Linked DNA regions of Lepisosteus oculatus. The protein of the gene in region 1 purifies or fractionates together with the protein of each later gene. This does not show direct contact. Links are inferred from orthologs where the notes say so. Each region holds a gene or a part of one and is shown in the gene's direction. Other genes may lie near its edges. The genes, in order: gapdh and siah1.

Region 1 (10,249 bases):
CCCTGTGTTTATGTGGTTTTCGTCTCACAGTCCAAAGACAATGCCGGTAGATTAATTGGCCCTGGTGTGAGTGTGTGTGTGTGTGTCCTGTGATGGACTGGCGTCCCGTCCAGGGTGTACCCTGCCTTGCGCCCAGTTCTATGTTGGGATAAATCCCAGCTCCCCCGCGACCCTGCACTGGAAGAAGCGGTTAAAAAGCTGGCGATAGTTTTTCACGACCTTAACACGTGTTCCTTCCCATCAGCTTCTGCGGGAGTTTTTGGAACAGTACAGGGATCTCCTGACCGCAGACGAACTGGAGAGCCTCGCCGGCGACCCCGGGGAGAGGTTACGACCGGCGGACACCACTTCGAAGGCCGCCGAGTACCCGGGATGGACTGACCTGCCCCCAACAAGTGAGCACCCGTGGTACCGCCTGTTGAGGGACACGCTGGCCAATCGAAAGAGAGCTTTCTCCGACCGGGCCAAGAAGGGGTGGGCCCGAGGCTGCTTTGGCCTCAAACTCGACCGGATTGGCTCCCTCAGCGGGCTCGGCTGCTAACTATTGGCTGAGGTGAGTGTCTTTCTGAGGACAGGCCAGGCAACTACAACCAACTTGACAATTTGCATGTAGTTTTTTTTCCCCACTCTCAACCTTGAAGATGAAGCGTGTAGAACTAATATAATATGAATGTTGCAAAAATAAACTCTATACAAGCTCATGATGTTAATTAGCAACAAACGGCACCGTGTTGCTAATTATAATGTAAACCTAGCAGTATAAGTTTAAAACTGAGCTATCAGGTATTAAAACTCCCCTTTAAAGAGTAAGAGAGAGCCTTTAATATCCCTGAGGGGGCAATTTGCTTCACTGCAGCAGTGCTGTTGTACAGACGGACAGAGAAACAAAAGAACACGACTAAAACAACAATATACACAACATACATGCATATTTGCATGAAAGTCAAGTGTTAAGTAACAGTATGACTACTGGTATGCATGAGAACGTAATTCTATTGGTCTGGAGAGTTGATGAGTCTGTATCTGCGTTCTGATGGGAGAAACTGGAAATTATTCAACAAGGGGGTGAAGGGAGAAATTTCTCTAGTCTTCGACAATTCGGTGCCTCACAGTACAAATCTATCTCCTGAGCGGGAGTCCGAGCTAGGTCAAATCTCAATTAATTTTAAGGCTGCAGGGTGTGTGCCTGCTCCACTTTGTGCTTGGTGTTGTGATCCAGGTGTATTGCCTTTTTGTTCTTGTCGGCGACACGAGCCAGTGATCTCTGGCTGGGTAGAAACGTCATGTGTGACGACGCCTGAGTCTTCGCCCTGACTCGTCTCTCTCGGTCTCTCTCGTCCCTGCAGGTGTTCCCCGGCGTTCTAGAACCTTCTGCCAACCCCCACCCCCAGCGCCGTTCTAGAACTCCACCCTGTCGTTCTGCGTGTTTTTCAAAATGCTCCGTCTCTTCCCTGAATATGTATCACCCATTTTACTTTTTCCTTTAAAATGAAAACAAGGCAGCTTGTCTCGAACTTGTGAGCGATGTGTGTACCTGGCTTTTCAGACTAGTGACTTCGGCTGCGCTCTGTCTTTTCTCCTTTCTGACACGGAGTAAAAGACTGTAGTAGGCTACTGTAGTGTTTGCTCAGAAGCTATAATTTCGCCCTGGCACTATATACCGCCGGATCTATGTAGGAGGCTGTCCACTGCACAGCAGCAGAACGTGCTCACAGTTTGCTGATGGCTATGTGGAAATATGAAGCAGGCAAAATACAGTGCTGTAATTATTTATTTGATAGACGACATTACTCAAAGCGGCTCTCTGAGGGGACGATGCTTTCCCTGTTTGTTACACGCGAATGCCGGTACCAGGCGACGTAGAGTAGAGTACTTCACTCCTCCACGGAAGCTTTTCAGCAATCATTCTGTGCCAAAGCAGAGAGCTACGAGAATGGCCTGGCTACCGTTGAACAAGAGCCCCCCAGCACCGCTGTGCAGAATAGTGTGGACTGCAGCACCGTGCATTTGTTGACATGTTTCATGAAAGACTAGTTTCAGTTTTGGCCCACAGTGCCTCGCTATGGCATGGCATCCTACTGTCACTGTAGTATTGTTTCCTTTACCTGTCTGTAATAAAACTACACGCTGCTTATGTAACCGAGAGTAGCTTTTGCTGGATGGGGGGAGGGTGTATTTACTGGAGGAGAAATTCACCAAGCCATGAGCCTGATGTGAAGGGAAACTCTCCACCACCCGCGGTGATTCCTTGATCCCGGCCGGCTGGAGGAGTTCGACACCCCCCCGAGGAGAGAGGCTGGAGAGACCCGGGCCCCAGGTCCCATCTCCGTCGGGTCCTGCCCTCGTCGTGTGCCGCTTGTTCATCGTCAACAAACCAACACCGTGTCCGGAGATGCTGTCAAAATAAAAGATTTGTGTGGGTTTTCGGAGTCTGGGCTGCATTATTACTGTCGGAGCTCCGTCGTGGGACAGCTCCTTGATCAGATCCGAAGATGCGACGTTGCAGTTTCTCGCGAAGCCACTGGGTGTCAGCATTGCGACGCGTATTAACAAAAAGGCGCCGCTTCCCCATGAGAAACGTTTCACCTGTTGGCAGTTCAGCTCGGAGACAGGGGACGCACTTTCTTTAAAAGGGGGAACAAGGCGGGGCTGTTTCTTGTAAGTTTAGTTCCTACAGTGGATCGAGGTAAACTTGAATTCACAATAAACCTCTTACACTAAGTACACACTCTTAACAAGTCAAGATTCTATAGTGATACCGACGTTCATAAAAAAAGGGTGATTGTCCTTTATCGATCAGGGTAAGTGCTTGCTGGGGCTGGATTTGCACAGCGCAAGAGCCCCTCCAAGTCCGACCACTTGCTGTTGTCCATGCCTTTCACCTGTCCCGGCTCCGAAACGACGGTCGTCCCGTCCTCCGCAGAAGCGCTGACCAGCTGGAAACCAGCTGTGGGTCGAGCGAGATGTCTTTTAGATGGCTCGGTCAGTAATGAACAGGTTCTGACCGGGATGCAAGCAACCCCCTTTTCATACCGCAGCGTGTGGCATTCACCGAAGGAGGACTCTGGGAGTGGATGGAGAGGGGAAGCCGGGGGTCGGGTTTTCAAGCGAGGGCCAAATATGTCTCTGTCGGCCCGGTCTAGCCGGCGCCAGGATTTCCGATTCCCTCCGTCCAGGCCGCCCACAGCAGTTCCCTGCCCGGCCACTGAGGTCAGATCCCCCTGCGGTCCGGTGTCTACCGGGGCTGAGCGGGGTTTCGGACCCGAGCGGCTCTCCCAATTTTTTATTTGTCCCCTTTTTTGCCTCCTTTCCTCGGGAGCTTGGCACTGGACCCAGTCGCCGGTAGGCTCGTCGTGCTGAGTGCTGGCGGAGCGCCTGGCTGGTCGGACCCGGTGCCAAACTACCTATTTTCCCTGCTGCCCGGCTGGGGGGGGGGGGAGGGTATCTTGGCTCACCCGGCCAGTCATTAACGACACCCCCAAGAAGGTTCCACAGCCGAAACGTGGTTTCCTTTCTTCTCTTTAGGCACTGCAGATCAGGCACTGCAGATACAGTACAGTGTAGATTAGACTCTGTAGATACAGTACAGTGTGGACCTGCTCTGTAGATACAGTACAGTATAGATTAGACTGTGTAGATACAGTACAGTGTAGATCTGCTCTGTAGATACAGTACAGTGTAGACCTGCTCTGTAGATACAGTACAGTGTAGATCAGGCTCTGTAGATACAGTACAGTGTAGATTAGACTCTGTAGATACAGTACAGTGTGGACCTGCTCTGTAGATACAGTACAGTGTAGATTAGACTCTGTAGATACAGTACAGTGTAGATCTGCTCTGTAGATACAGTACAGTGTAGACCTGCTCTGTAGATACAGTACAGTGTAGATCAGGCTCTGTAGATACAGTACAGTGTAGATTAGACTCTGTAGATACAGTACAGTGTGGACCTGCTCTGTAGATACAGTACAGTGTAGATTAGACTCTGTAGATACAGTACAGTGTAGACCTCCTCTGTAGATACAGTACAGTGTAGATCTGCTCTGTAGATACAGTACAGTGTAGATCAGTCTCTGTAGATACAGTACAGTGAAGACCAGGCTCTGTAAATACGGTACAATGTAAATCTGGTATATAATGTAGTATATCTGTTCTGCCCTATAATGTAGTATAGTACATTATAGGGCAGAACAGCACACCATAGACAGCTACATTGATAAATTGCAGTATCAATCTGGCACTATATATAATACAGTACAGTTTGTACCTTACTCGGGGAAATACAGTACAGTGTAGTGCAAGCATATCCATGGTGACTTAAAGGCAATTTCAGACACTGCGACTGACTGCCTGGGCATTAGCACCACGGTGAAAGAGCGAGGTACAGAGAGTGGGGGCACGGAAAGGTCAGGGTCCTTCCAGCGAGCGCTGAGCTGACCTTTTCCTAGCTCCCAGACGGAAATCGATCCCCCCAGTCTCTCCGTCTCTGGAGAAGGTCAGATGCAGGCAACCGATCTCGCCAACCAGACTCCCGGCGCTCACGCCCCTGTCCGCCTGTCCTGGCGGCGGCGTGTGTGGCCTGAATGTCTTTGCGAGTGCGCCTCTGCCTCTGAGTTTTAGACCATGGCCCGTCTCTTTCACTCGCATGCAGTCGTAACCCGACGGCCGGGGTAGGAACGGCAGACGCGCGGATCCCCACGTAGCCCCAGTGCGGCCGATCCAGCGTGTGCTCGGTCGCCGTGGCAACGCAGCCACAGAGCCTCCTCGCAGCCAACGAGTGACGTCGGAGAGTCGGAGTGGCAGCGGAGGCCACCAATAAGACAAAGGGGGAGGGGCAGGGGGCGGGGAGGCCGTCTCCGGGATAGGTCGTGAGGCTAGAAACTTAATTACAAACCCGCTCATCGGCTGCCGTTTACACTGGCAAAACACTTCTTGCGATTCGCTCTCTTGTATACGTTAAAGTCATGCGCGTCTGCTGCTCTCCTGTCTATTAACCATTACTATTTTAAGTATTTCATAATTTATTGAAGTAGTTCAGGTGGGGAGCTGCGTCAGCATGAATAGGCTGCAGAGGAACAATGGAGTCATGCCCTGCTGAAAAGAGAAGAAAAGAAACACAACGTTCTCTTTTCATCATGGAATAAACCTATTACTTGTTCCATGAATAATTTATTGGTTACGAAACCACCCTATTCTTCTTCTGCTTTTATTCTAGTAGCTGTAGCAACAGCCTCTATTATCTTTCTCAAAGGCACCTTTACACATTTGGGAAGGGTCAATGCTTACACAGCACCCCAGAGATCAAATGTCACACCTGCGCTGTGGCCTAACCACCCCTGACCGCGGTAATATGACAGGCTGCTCATGATGAATTCGGAGCCTCCTGTCTCCTGCATCAAGGAGACCTTTGTACTGAAGACGAGGCGACGCCTCCGGCCTGCGCCAGCCAATAGGAACGCGTCCCCCTCGCCACACCCAGCGCGCCAGCATCACCCACGTCTTTCTAATATAGGTGCCATACACGGGTCTTTCAAACTCCTTCATTCCACGAAGGAGAACTCTGAAGTGCATATTATTAGCTCATCTCCAAACCACCCCACCCCACAAAAAAACAACGCGTTGCAGTATGCAGTATCGCGTTTGTTAACAGTACTTTTGAAATAATCTTTGCGCTTTGAGAAGCCACCTTTAAAGGCGCTATATAAAATAAAGTTTATTATTATTATAATCTCTCACTTCAATTCTGTATTGTGATATAGTGCACGGGGCCATCGCATTAGATCAAGAATAAATGCATGAGGTCACAAGCAATAAGAGCAAGGGAAACATACAAAAAAAAAAGCATCGGGACACTTCCCATGCAGCGCCGTGACGCACTATCCCCGCACGCTGCTCGCGTGTGTTCTGCAGGAGCCGTCATGGCGGCCGCGGACTCGGGTGACCTTGAGGTTCCGCCCGCGGAGCGCCGGCAGGAGGCAGGGCGGGGAGGGGGGGGGCGTGACCGTCGCCAGCTTACCGGTATAAAGTGCACCAGCCCGGCCACTGGCTCTTCACTCCACTGAAAGTCAGAGTTTCCGGAAGGGCAGAGGAGCTGTAACTCACAAACGGTAAGTATGTGGTTTCCTGAAGCTGGACTTTGTGTTGAGTGTCTAGGGATGTAATAGGGCTCAATATACCACTTTTTTGCGCCTTTGTATTTGGAGCTATCGGATAGACTATTTGCATCTGTCGTCTGTGCACCTAGCAGTCGTTTTGCTGTGAAGTGCCCAGTTCTGTGCGGAAAGGTCTTGTTTTCGGAGGCTGCAAGGCTGTATCGTCTTCTAATGACGCGCTCCTACTGCACAGTACCGCTGTTCTTCGCTTGATTGGGGTTCTCTGCTCCTCCGTCTTGCAACACCTCCGTTTCGCGTAAAGGAATACTTGTAGTGTGTGTGTGTGGGGGGGGTGGAGAGATGGCGACCTGCTTGCTTCATTGTCGCTTACCGTTTAGCGAGCGAGCACGGCTGCAGTCTCAAGTCTAGCATGGCGCCGTGTGTGAATCGTAAGCTCGCTGCGTTGTGAGTGCGCCGATGTTCTACGGAATACGGCTCCCCTCCGACATAGGTGCGAGTTTAATGTTCGCCAGTTCTCATTTCTACAGGATGCTTAGTGTGGGTGGGCGGTATCTGTTGAAGTGCCTAGGGACGGTTCTGGCTTCGGTACAACCTTGTACTTAAAGGAGAAACGGGAAAACTTTTGGAACTAGTTTCGTTTTTTTATTTTTGGCGGTTGGCTTATGACGTTTTAGACGCTACTGCGCCTGAGCTTGTTCCGTGTCATTCGGGGTGCATTTTTTCTTAATGTTTTTTTTTTTTGTTTCCTCCTTCTAGACGAGGACTTTAACCTGTTAACCATGGTGAAAATTGGAATCAACGGGTGAGTAAACCTTCATCAGGTCACTGATCCACTGTGTGGAAGGTGTAAGTGATCCAACTTTGTGTGTTGGATCTGGTGCACATGAGAGCCTAATTTCAAAGTCTAACGTCCTGAAAGGGCCTGCCATCTCATTCTTGTAATTCGGTTAACCTGGTTTCATTTAAGCATCTAACCAGTTTTGGAGGTAACTGGCTTTCATTCTTTCAAGATGTGCATTTAGCTTTGAATGCTTTAGGCTTCATGAGGAGGAGAGCTCTTGACTTGAAGTGGCTCTCCACCTTGGCCTTTAAGCAGTGCCTCCAAATTTGGGAGTGTTGTTCAACGGAGCTCAAAAGGTCAGGAGAGGAGCAGATAATGTCTCTTCTGCCCCAGTGGAACCTGTGGGCCTACATGACCTGCTTGGATTAAGGGGAAACTTGATTGCTCCACTATATAGTGTGGGTAGTAACTATCCCTCCAGATCCTGGTTTCACATGGCTCTCTTTGAGGTCCTTGTGCCTTACATTGACTGAAATGGCTACACCTCAGTCTGTTATGTACTGATCTGGAAGAGGCTGTGCTATTTGTACCGCTCTGGACATGAGTACACAACAGCAGGGGCTTAATCTGACTCTTATTGTAGGTGCTCATTTGCAACCTTGGGTTCACCAGCAACTCCCAATCGGGTGTCCAGCTGATGCATTTCCACCTGGGACTTTGAGTCTGAGGCCAGTGCTTTTGAGTCTGGTGCCCTAACCCACCGGGGGGAGGCCTGATCAGAGAGCTTTTAGCCTGTGAAGCTAAAAGCGGTTATCTCAAGACTCGAGGGTCTTAACCTGGCTTTGCACAAGACAGCTGGAGACCGGCTTTCAACATGGCTGAGTTTCTTGTTCCATCTTCCCCATAACCCATTGGGTGCAGTGCTCCCCCCTTGTTCTGCGGTTTTATTCTGGCAGGTTGCTTGGCTTGATTTCCTCGGCCCCTAGCTGGCTTTTGCAGTGTTGCCACTGGCCCAACTGGGTGGGGAGAAGAACGATCTGGAAGTCGGACCAAGCCCAGCAAGCTTGGAGTGTCAACTAGGTGGTTAATGATGCCAGTGTTCCTCCCTGGCATGACTTTAGATTAGCTGACTAAACTACGCTCCTACAAAGCCATCGGTGTTTGAGTTTCTGCTTCAGTTGCTTGATTTGCTGGGGGTGGATCCAAAGACCCATATTGCCACAATATTGTTACACCCAAACTACCAGCTGTCCTGCTGAGTCGCAAGTGCTACTGCACTGTCTGGCTTGCTCTCTGCTCCCCTTAGTCCAGAGAGACGGCGAGCTGCTATCTTGCTTGGATTCAAAAACTAAAACCACATGTAAAGATCAGGGGTTATAGTGAAACTTCAGTCCCTGATCTCCATGCCACTTTTGAATACTGGGGTGGGGGGACTGTAAGTTTAGATTGAGTGCCCCAGTCAAACATTAAGGCTGGTAGTCTGGAGGTTTGCCCTACACCTCCTTGCCCTGTTCGTCTACTGTACTCTTCAGTCTGTGCTCTGTAACCTGTACAGTTGGCCTCTTGGTCTGCTCTATTTTTAGTTTAGTTCTGTTAAGTGACACTAGTCGAGGCACAGCTGTCGCATTCTTCTCTGCCTATTTTAGGCGAATAACCTTTCTTGAAGGCTGGGGGTCATCCAGTGATCTTTAACTCCGACCTCTAGCCTTTTCCTGGGTGGAATGTGGTCCACAAATGAGATCCGTTCAGTAATGGCATTTTAGTTATAGGTCAGGCTCCCACTCTGTGACCTGGAGTGGTTCAGTCAGCTTTGCTGGTTGTGGAGGCGCTATACAACCCAAGCCTGCAGTTCCTAAGTGGGTTTCCCACTACAGGATGTGTTAGACCTCTGTACAGCAGGTGCTGGCTTGTCCTGATGATGCCCACCACTTGAACCCGAGATGCACTTCTGGAAGCTAGTGTTAAAATGGGAATTCAGCTGCATGAAAGGACACAATAGGGTTTATAATTTTAAAGGACCTTCTCCAATCAAGCCTGGTGACTTACAAGGGCTGCCCATTTCAGTTCTGGTGTGCTGTGGCTTTTTTCAGGCTTTCCTCTCCAGCTGAAGAAGGGAGCAGTGGGATGACTCCTCCCCTCCAGTTTGGAGGTAGCCAGCCAGTCAGGACTGGGGTGGGGCAGTGGGGAGATAATGGACCCACTTCTGACTTTAGACCCAGATAAAACCCTGTTTATCAATTACTTTTATGGAAGTGTGTGAATGTTCTGTGCTTGCTTCCTACTATGAACAGCCCCTTTCTGCAGAAGAGGACAGAACCCTGTACTGTCTTGTTAATATTCACCTTTGAAAACTGCACTTTGGCCCTTAAATTTCCTTCAAAAACATGAACTATGCCACAAAATGGGCACTGGGTACCTTACTGCACTGAGGTTGGTGGTCCTTCTGGCCTGATACGAATGACTGTTCAATCTGCTTGTGGAGCCTGTGTTGGCTGGTTCACCTCCCTCTGTGTCATAGAAACCCCTCTCTGCCACTACAGCATGTATGAACAGGACCTACCCGTTTCCATCTCCTTATTCTCGGCTGCGTTTAATTACTGGTAACGACAACACTGGCTAAACATCAACCTGTTTTCTCCTTTGGGTTTTGCTGATCAAATATTTGTGCAAGTCTGGAGTTGTGCAATGCTGGGATGGGTTAATATGTATAGATATGAACTTCAGTCCTAATACCGAAGTGCAGTGGCTAATGGCGAACTCAAGGCCTTTATCTAAGAAGCTCTCGGTAGTTGAGAGAGTGACTGGATGCTGCCCCCTTCTGGTGCAGGTTGGAACAGTATTTTCAACTTGACACTGAGCAGTTGGCCATCAAAGGGCTGAAGATGCTCTCAGGTCCTGGAGTATCTCGATCTGTTGGCTTTTGTTCCAGTTGGGTCCTTAATGTTAACTAGCACCAGCAACTGACTTGCTTGCTGGTTTAGATTTCAAATGCACTATTGATGTGAATTTACTCCCTTATCTGTGCTATTTATCACAGGCTTCCTCTCTATTGCACACCATTGAGCTTTTAGACCTGGAAGCACATTTTAAAGGCCTTGCATGGAAGATTTGAGTCTTGCCTGTGGTTAAGATCTTGGCATAAGACAACCAGAAGGCTTAAGTGCTGCCTGAGTTTTGATTTGATTGCCTTACTTAATAGGGGAAATACATGCACCACCTTCACATCCAGTTGACACCTTAACAGTTTTGTAACTGTACTCAAATCTAAGCCCTACCTTAAGGCTCAAAAGCAGAGAATAGGTTGGTAATGGCTTTTTTTTTTTAAATAAAGCCTTCATCTTTAAGTGATGGGTGT
Region 2 (9,566 bases), on another chromosome or scaffold:
GTGTTTTTTCCAACTTGATTTCCCTTATTTATAGGCTTATCAAGAGGATGCCCAATTACCAACGTTAGCAACATTAGGACAATCACTCTGTGTCTGATGTCGTTTTATGGCTAGTGGTCTTTTGCAAAACAAAAATACAAAACTTTGCATACAGGTTCCCCAGTGGACCCAACAAATCTGTACTGAACAGTGGAAGTCACCTTATTTATGTGATTCACGCGGATTTCAGCTTCTGCTTCTGAGATCTGATTAATCCCACAAGTGTCGCTTACCAATTTCTGGTGCCTTGCAAACCCTGTTCAGTGACAGAATAAACTGTTTGCTATAGACCACAGCTCTTTCAACTCAATAAACACAGAGGTGTCCATTACTCATTATAACAAAAACACACACAAAAAACTACATTCTGTTCCTTTTCTTTCCTCTAAAGAGTCTTTGTTTGAAGTGACTCTAAGACAATGGCAGAGATTTGGTCCCAGGTAAAACTGTAAAGGAGAACAATCAAAGTTATCTTTTACCTAGACAATGCTGGGAATAGTAGGGTACACATGGTCTCCACTGCTTGGAAGGCACTGCTGCTGTAAACCTGAGTCCCTGTTTGGCACTTTGACCACCACCACCAGTGTGCAGCCCCACCAGAATGGCCCAGCCCTAGCCATAGTGCACCAGAATGCTCACCACACACCAGCTAATGTATGTATGTAATGAATGTAGCCAGTTCATAGAGGGGGATTATTAGGAGGCCATGATTGGTAAGGGCCAATGGGAAATTTGGCCAGGACGCTGGGGTAACACCCCTACTCTTTTCGAGAAACGCCCCGGGATTTTTAATGACCAGAGAGAGTCAGGACCTCGGTTTTATTTCTCATCCGAAGGACGGCGCCTGTTTACAGTATAGTGTCACCGTCACTATACTGGGGCATTAGGACCCACATGGACCGCAGGGTGAGGTCCCCTGCTGGCCCCACTGACACCTCTTCCAGCAGCAGCCTTAGTTTTTCCCAGGAGGTCTCCCATCCAGGTACTGACCAGGCTCACACCTGCTGAGCTTCAGTGGGCTGCCAGTTGTGAGTTGCAGGGTGATATAGCTGCTGGCATATGAAAGGTGCATTTGAATAGCAGCACTAAACCAACAGATCTAAGGTTTAAATGTGACAAAACACAAACATTGTAAATAGAACCATAACAAGTTTTTAAACTAAACCAGTAATAAAATCAAGAAAATGTTTTGTGTAAATGTCCTTCACTAAGCGCCGTAACAATGAGGCCTAAACGATGGCAAAGGCCGAAAAGCATGAAAAGCAAGTGTCACCGAAAACATTGAACCACAAAAATAGCTCAGGCAGTTCTCACATGTTAAACTGAAACAAAACAACAACAAAACTGTCTTGCATCACACTTCAAGCAGAACAAAACAAAAAAACATGTTAGGACAAAAATGTTAAAAAACACAAGGAAAGTACCAGATATCAACATGTTGTGAACGGCATTATATAACTCAAAATCCATTATCCAGTCCAGTTTCTATCTTCCTGGGTATCCAGCCTGTCCCTGGTTGGTCCTTTTCAACCAGGCTCCCTGAACAGTACCCTCATGTGAGGCCCAACACAAGAGCAGGCCCGGTTCTCTTCAGCAGCACCGGGGTACCGGGCATGACGCTGCTCTGGCCCAAATCAATGCCCGCTGGCTGGTGTCGGGACTGCAGTGTGAGCTCCCCGTTGGGTTCAAATCGGTGCTGTTGAACCGTGCTGAAAATGTGTGTGGGAGAAATGGTAGTGAGACGGACGCTGTCTGGAGACAAGATGAATTCCAGGTCCTGCCTGTGTTCCTGCTGCTGTGAGACGGGCTCTGGGATGAAGTCCGGGCTCCCCGCTAGCTGGCAGAGCTCGTCTGAGGACGCAGAGTGACCCTGCCTGCTGTCTGTGTCTCTGATGCAGACAGGAGTAGGAGGCGAGACAGCCAGGTGCTTGGTACTGCAGACAGAAGTGTGTCCTTGCAGAGGCATATTATCGTTGCACTGCAAGGAAAAAGTGTCCCTGCCGCACACAGTCTCTAAGATGGCCTCAGAGCAGTTACCCTCCTCTTGCAGTGTCTCACAACTCACCCGGTCTTCGTCTGTAGCCAGGCTGTCGAAAGGGCTCTGGTTTGGGAATGACACAGGCTGCCTGCAGCCCAATTCACTGGTCACTCCTGTCAGCACAGGGACCCCAGAGCTGCTGTCCTCTGTCGGCTGGGGCTCTTCAGTCTCGGCGTGTTGTGGAAGCCAGGTGGGGGTGCAGAAAGGCTCACTAACATGTCATCGCAGGGAGATGAAATCGCTGTCTGCTGTGGGCCAGAGGACATGGGGTGGCAGCAGAGTGACTGCTGGAGGGTTTTATTTCCTGACTTCCTGGCTGTTTTAACATAACATCACTTTATTAGCCCTATACAGTTTCTTGCATGAGGAATTTGTCTTTTCACAGACCCCAGCTTGCTCTCCATGAGACACACAGACAGGGAAAGAAGCTTGGGGTCAGAGCGCAGGGTCATTTATACAGCGCCCCTGGAGCAGTTGGGGTGAAGGGCCTTGCTCGGGGGCCCAACGGAGTAGGATTCCTCTGCCGGCTGCAGGATTTGAACTGGTAACCTTCCAGCCACAGGCGCAGATCCTGAGCCACAGAGCCACCACTCCGCTCCTGTTGGGCTCTTGTAAGACTGATGGAAGACAAGGTGTGTGGAGACACCTTCATGAGCCTTATGTTGACTGTTGAAGACAAACTGCTGGAGTGGTGGAGGTGTGGTGATGTGCAGAGGAGTCTCCTTTAACACCAGGACACCTTCGGTTCAGACTGACCACAAACCTACTGCTGAGGAAGAAAGAGCTTGAGGAAACAGCTCTTCCATTCCTGCAAGCCTGGCTGGAAGTGAACATTTTCCAGAACGGATGATGCAAGACCACCCAGGCAGGATTACAACAGGACAACCTCAGGAAAACACTGTCAGGGTCTCTCTGTGGCAACAGAGCAGCTGTGGGACCAAATTACTACAGACTTCAACAGGAGACGTCACGACAGGCCGCCCCTGACCAGCTGGCAGCAGCTGCCCTGGAAGAGTGTAGCCGGACAGCCTACGGTCCAGAGGCTGATCAGGACTGTGAGTCAGTGCTCCAGGGCTGAGTTAGTCTTCAGGGAGGTCAGACAAGACACTAACGTTGGTTTTGACGTTACAAAACAACTGTTACACTGTTTATGTCCCGAAAATCCATTGTGATTTCCTGAGCTGTATTTTTGTTCCTACTGGCTCTGGTTACTTTTCATATCCATGTCCAAATATTTGCTTCATTAAATCAACTAATTGATCCATTGAGCTGAACTTAGTGTTTGTTTTATTAGAAGCCACACACCTACAACAGAAGTACACATGCAGTCTAAACATACAGTATGATTTCCTTGTAGTTAAGACATTTTGAAAATGATAGTCGGCTAGGATTTGAGTATCACTTAATGCTTAACGCCTCCACGCCAAAATTGCCGCCGCTTTAAAACGCCCCTGGTTTGTATTGGGTTTTGTTTCCTTTGCTGTTCCTTAGAGACTTCAACTCGGCCCTGATCCGATTCCCTCTGTTTAGAGCGCCGTTTACTCGGCAATAAGATACAGGGATGTTTGTTTTACACCTGTCACCGCGTCGCACACCTGAGCACGTGACGTCCGTGCCAAGATGGACGGAAGCGCCGCCCCCCGCTTTCTGAAGCTGGTGCGCGCTCCCGGCTGCGCGCCCCCGCCGCCCGCCGCAGTTCCCGTGGAAAAGTATTTCAACAACAGTCGGTGCGCGGCTCCGAGACCGGCGGCTGAGTCTGTCTCTGTGTGTGTGTGTGGAGACACACAGCGTGGATGTGGGGATCCAGAAACACTGGACACAACGAAAGGGTAAAAAAAAAACATTACGAGCGGAAAGCCTGCTGGGATAATTAAGGAAAGCGACAAAAAAAAAGTAAAGTAAAAAAAGACATTTCGTCAGAGGTAAGCGGTTGACCCCCTCCCGGACCGGGTCCGGACGGGGTTTCGGTTGGGATTACGGGTCGGCGCGGCTCCGCTTTGTTGTGGGAAGAGCACGTTACAGTGGCCGCGACCATGTCGCTGAGCTCGTCCTGGCCCGGGAAAGGTAAAAGCGAGCACGAAGGTAGAGGTCTGCTTTTTTTTTTCTTCCTCCCCAAGGCTCTTCTCTGTGTCGGGGGGGGTCGGCTGGGGGGGTATTTAACAGCGGGGGTGCGTGTGCGTGTGCAGGGGCCGGCCCGCTGTCTCCGGGAGAGCCCCCGGGCCGGGCCGGGTTAGCCGTGAGGGCGCCTCGGCGCAGCCCCGGCCGGCCGGCGAGGAGGCAGCCGGGCACGGGCTTGCCCTTCACGGCGGCGGGGCTCTGCGGCCTACTCGGCGTCGGCGTGCGGGCCGGGAAGGGAAGGGGGGGCCGCTGCTCAGTCCTGCGGGCTGGGGTTGCTGGGCCTCTCGGTTTGGGTGCAGGCGTGCGCGGCGGGGAGGCTGAGCTCGGTCCCCGCAGAAGCCGGGTTGTTGTTGTTGTTGTTTTAAACGATTGAGAGAGCGGCTCTACGAGATGTCCAGCTTGGCTGACGAACCCCGGGAAATGGAAACGATCGTTGTGTTTCCCCGAACTGCTGAAGGACCGCAGACAGCAGGAGCGTTAGAAGAGCGACCTCTTCTCTAACCTCATACAGGAGAAATGGCTTTCATCCCCTACATACCCCTGTAGCAGGGGGGCGTGTGTGTATGTCTCACGGTAATCTTTTAAACACTATTGCTATCTGAATACCCCCTCTGCGGTTTGTTTTTAAATCCCCTGCCGCCCGGCTGTCCGAGCCCGGCAGACGGTGCCGTGATGTTTGGGTTTTTGGGTGCATGTCTTTTCGCTGCCAACATGGCGGAGGTCAAGTTGCTACCCCGGCCTGTGCTGCTGGAGCCGAAACCTTGCTTCTTGCCTTGAGGATGTGTGAGGGCATCAGGTGATTGAATGTACTCGTCTGTAAGACGGACGCTGCAGCTCCTGAGCGCCGGACGGGTACGGAACCAGCTGTCCTCCGAGACGATTGCATCTGGACCATTAAGAGATGTTTGATGCTCTGAGCGGATTACGTCTGCTTTGAAGTTCAGATTTACTCCACAAAAGCGGGTTGCGTGGGTTACAGTAGTGACCCAGGAACGCATTAACGAAATGAGATTTGCCCCCCTGTGAGGGAGATCTTCAGTTCCCCTAGTGCCAGTTTTAAAGAAGCATTTGAGATAAAGATGTTGCACGATATTTTGGCAGTTGCGTTGCTGCTGTAGGCAAAACTAGCATTTGTGTTGTAAAAATCCCATATTGCAGTACAGTGTAATATGTAGTTAAATGTCACCATTACATTGCACTTTGCTAAGGTAGGGATTAGTCCATCTGTTTTGCTGATGTATTTGCTGTTGTAAAAGCAGATACATGATATTGTGGCTGTTTGACACACTTTCTTGTGACTGCCCAAATGTTTCTGGGTCACTGTGAAGGGGTGATTGTTAATTGCAAAGGGGGTGCTATTGGGACCCTGCTAGTTGTCCTTGCTGCCACCCTGATTCAGGGTAGAGGGGACTGGACCCACTGTACATGAATAGCTCCCATAGGTGTGGGACATGCCACCTCTCTCCTCATCCTGAAGTAGAGTGGGTGACTCAGGGGCTTTTAGACAGCTGTCATCCCAGCTCTAAATCTTGGGCACGCAGGTGAACCGCCCTCTGTTTCTTAAGAGGATTTATCACCCTCGCATCTGCTTTAAAACTGTCCCTGCTGAGCTTGTCTGTGGTACTTATTTCTGCTCTAGAGCCCCTTCAGCAGAGTGGCAGCTGCAGAATGAGAGTACACATGTGAAGGATTGTTACAGGCCGTAGGTATTGACACCCAGCTTCTGAAATAGGGTTACTGTTAATTTGAGTGTATTGGCTTATCAGTGATAACCTCTTCTAAGTTTTCTAATCAGTCGCTCACCTGACTAAGCATCGGTTGTATTCCGGTGAGTTTGCTGCAGTACAGTTAGGCTCTGCTGCCAGTACTTGAGTCTGTAGCTACTTAAGGTGACTTAAGTGTGTGCCAGTCAGAATTGCAGATTTGCAAATGTATTCTAATGGGCGTTTGTGTTTTACTTTTTAATGGGAGTAAATGCTTCCTTTGGGCATTGTAGAAAAGGCACCAGCCTTTGCTGAGCCATAGTTCTCAGACATGCAAGACGTTATCTGAAAAGTCTGTTTTGTCTTCTTTGGGTAGTTGGGATCTGACAACTGCACTTGTGCATGTAGTCTGATGAGGATATAGGCCCTTGTCTGTTTCCTGTGGCCATGGCAGGTATCCTATATTCCCCTTCAGTTTTGAGACCTCTGTTAAGTTAGATGAGCATCGTTTGCAAGGTGGACCCCTGGTTTCTGCCCCTCACCCACCTCGCGCCTGGACATGCTTCATGCAGGAACTTCAGTGCTGCAGGGTAGGCGATTACTGAACTGTCTGTGTTTGTGTTTTGGGTTTCGTCTTTCGTTTGGTCTTGCCTGTGCAGCTTCTGGGCTGGCCGTTTCGGGATTCAGCTGAGATATCTCGGGGAATTTCCAAGGTCCCCTTTGAGAACAATTCAGAGGATTGGTTTTGAAAATGTTCAGTGTGTTCCGTTAGTGTTGAAGATTTGGGTTACTGAGGCCCTTTGAGAGCTTCCAAAAGATTAGATATGGTTTAGAGGAAATAAAAACATGCCTGTTTCCACTTGTGCTTTATTTTAGTGATAAACACAATAAATACTCTACGGAGAAATATTACGTTGACAGATCCTGTTTTATAACTTGTATTTCTTTTACAATGCATATCGCAGTGTTGTACCAAAGTCAGGGCCCGTGTCCATGGTATTCATGTCCATGAAGGTCGTGTGTCAATTATTTTTGAAGTCTCGCCTCTGTGCTGTCTGGTTATTGTTGTGAGCTGAAACTTGCTGTTCCTCCTGAAAAAGAGTATGGTATATCCAGCCAGCGTCTGCTCCAAAACAGCCCACTGAACCCTGGAAAGATTTGAGCTGGAAAAACATCTATTTGCACTATAACCCCAAATTCCTGCAGCAGAGCTGAAAGACCTAACCGGGCCACCGCTAAATTTATATTTTAGGCTAGCAAGAACTCCAAACAGCCTCCTAACAATGTCATATTTTAAAAATTAATGCTAAGATTTACTGGAGTGCATGGGAATGTGCCTGGAATGTGTTTTATTTTTCGCATAAAAGGAGAGTTTGTGACAAGTGTTCTTTATTAACAGTAATGTGAGGTGTTTGTTTATTACGCAGTTCACTCATAATGAGTTTTCCATATGGAATCTGCTTTGCATCATGTTACATATCCCTTATTTGCTCCATATCCTGGTTCATCATGGGCTTCTGCAAGCATATATGTAAATAGCCTGTTTGCCTTTTTTTATGTAAACATCTTATTTGCATTCCTTTGTTCACAAAAACCTGGCTTCCCTGCGTGCTACTAAGCTTTACATCCCACAGCGCATGCAGCGTAAGCAGAATTCTGTTTATCATGCGTGTTGTAGTGTGGCTACACGTACTGCCCCGAAGTTATAGAGCAAAAAAGTATGTATGCCTGCTCTTAGGCACATCCAGTTTAACACAAATCCACATCAGAGGGGTCACATTCCTGCTGAATGGTCTAAAACTCTGTGGTTTGGAGAGATGCTGGGGGAGCAGTTTTCACCATTACTGCAACCATCTGGACAGCTTGTCACATACGTAGCTTAGGTCTGTTATGATATCAAATTATTCGCACTCATGTTGTGCTTTTCATCCTAAATGGTCCGAAGGTTTTTTTTTTAGGCATCGCAAGAACCTGCCTCATCTACCACTGAAGCACAGTACCCACCTGTGACCTGGGGAAGCTTATTGAGGCTGGCTACTACAATCCAAGAGTGAAATTTAACCTGACCACCACAACTCACAGCTCTGCTCTTATTAAGGGTGCCTTAATAAGCTCTTAAATCTTGATTTTTAAAGGCCAAGTTTTCGGGCTCTTGATTTAATGCTTTGTCCAAAAGAAGGTATTTAGTCCTGTCACACTTGCCATGCTGGTTTAGTATTTCTGGTCCAGAGGAAAGAGCACCATATACTGGTCTGCCAGGTATAGCAGCCACCTCCTCTCTTCTTCTTGGTCCAATACAGACCAAGTTCAGCCATGCCTGGAGATCTTGCTGAGGTCTGACTGCTTGATCTTGTCATGTGGTATAGCTGCTGTTGGAAATGGGACTTTCTTGTTAATTTTCCATTTTCTTTTATCTTCATGGAGCTGAGAGCTTGTGTCCAGGAAACATGAGTGTTGCTAAAGGCAAATGAATAATTTGCAGGATAGGCAATAGTTTGTCTGAAGTACCTGTGTGTCAGCCTTCACTTCTCTCCTGCCTTAATGTTCTCCAACTTGAAATTAAATTGTCAAAAGTTACAGATAGCAGAGTGCTTTCCGGAACTACTAAATGAGGTTAACTAGAGTGTCTCAGACATCCACTGTGAGGCCATTATCTCTAATGTCTTCTGTCTTGCCTAGGTGGTTGGGAGGCTGGAGGGCGATGAGTGGAGGCAGACTAGCCTGCGTGTTGTTTTGAGGAATGCAGATAGTTTTAATCTTCACGCATCGGGCACAATGTAAAGTAGCTGCCAGTGTGGGAGTTGAAGGTGTGAAAACAGAAGGGTTGTTAGCACTCCAGATTAGAGCAAATCAGTGCCAGGGGATCAGGCTGAGCTGCAGCCAGTTACTCCAAAAGGACAAGCGTGCACAAACTCCCAGACCCCAAGAGCTGGCACAGGTGGAAATTCGTTTGTTTTTGTTTTAGTTTAATTTGTGGAACTTTCCCCCTTCCACTTTGATATGAATATAGTTGATTTTTCTGCAAGCTGAAGTCATAAAAGTTTTTTATTTTGTTTCTGCAGTGTATCGTAGATCTTTCTCTTTTAGAGGTCATTGGGATTTTTGATCTATCCTCAGTAAGAAGGGAGTTCTTTTTTAATCCCAAGTATGAAGTTTAGTCCTGTCACCTGTGTGCTGTTGGAGTTTCAGCTCTAACTGTTGTCGGTGAAGGATCAGGCTTTTTCTTTTTAGCGTGGTTTCCAGCGGGTTGTGTTGAATGTTTCTGGGCCCTGACTGTGGTGAAGGCAGGGCAGGCCCCGAGAGGCGCGGTGTGGGGCAGGCCCAGCCACTTCAGAGCTGTCAGCTCACTTTCTTTGTCTGTGCGGCTGGTGGTTGTAGGTGGAGCCACGAGGCCGTGAAACCCGAGACGGAGCAGAGCCCAGAGGAAGGACTTGCTCCTCAAAGGGGAGTGAGAAGGCTGCAGCGTGACATTCGAAACTTGCAGGCTGCGCAGCGCACACAAAGGAGGATCGCTCCATCCTGGAGCTGGAGCTGGGGAGGGGAGGACTTATTTTTAACTCGCCACTACAAAAGGCCTCTCCTGCTGCTGGTGTTCGGGGGTTCTGTTTTCCTGAAGATAAGCGACCAGAAGAGAACTGGGTGCTGGAATTTGCTTTGCCAGCAAGGGA

The links.
Region 2: the proteins of gapdh (region 1) and siah1 purify together in Homo sapiens (affinity purification with western blotting; 4 studies listed by BioGRID). This does not show direct contact. The link is inferred for Lepisosteus oculatus from reciprocal best matches to the Homo sapiens genes GAPDH and SIAH1.

What each region holds. Positions count from the first base shown.
Region 1 is NC_090718.1:3,650,548-3,660,796, forward strand, and holds the start of gapdh (glyceraldehyde-3-phosphate dehydrogenase), read left to right. Parts: upstream 1-6,006; 5' UTR 6,007-6,107; intron 6,108-6,869; 5' UTR 6,870-6,892; coding exon 6,893-6,915; intron 6,916-10,249. Other genes in the region: nppcl (C-type natriuretic peptide-like), read left to right, coding at 245-541. UniProt on the Homo sapiens protein: Has both glyceraldehyde-3-phosphate dehydrogenase and nitrosylase activities, thereby playing a role in glycolysis and nuclear functions, respectively.
Region 2 is NC_090715.1:1,592,428-1,601,993, reverse strand, and holds the start of siah1 (E3 ubiquitin-protein ligase Siah1), read left to right. Parts: upstream 1-4,801; 5' UTR 4,802-9,566. UniProt on the Homo sapiens protein: E3 ubiquitin-protein ligase that mediates ubiquitination and subsequent proteasomal degradation of target proteins.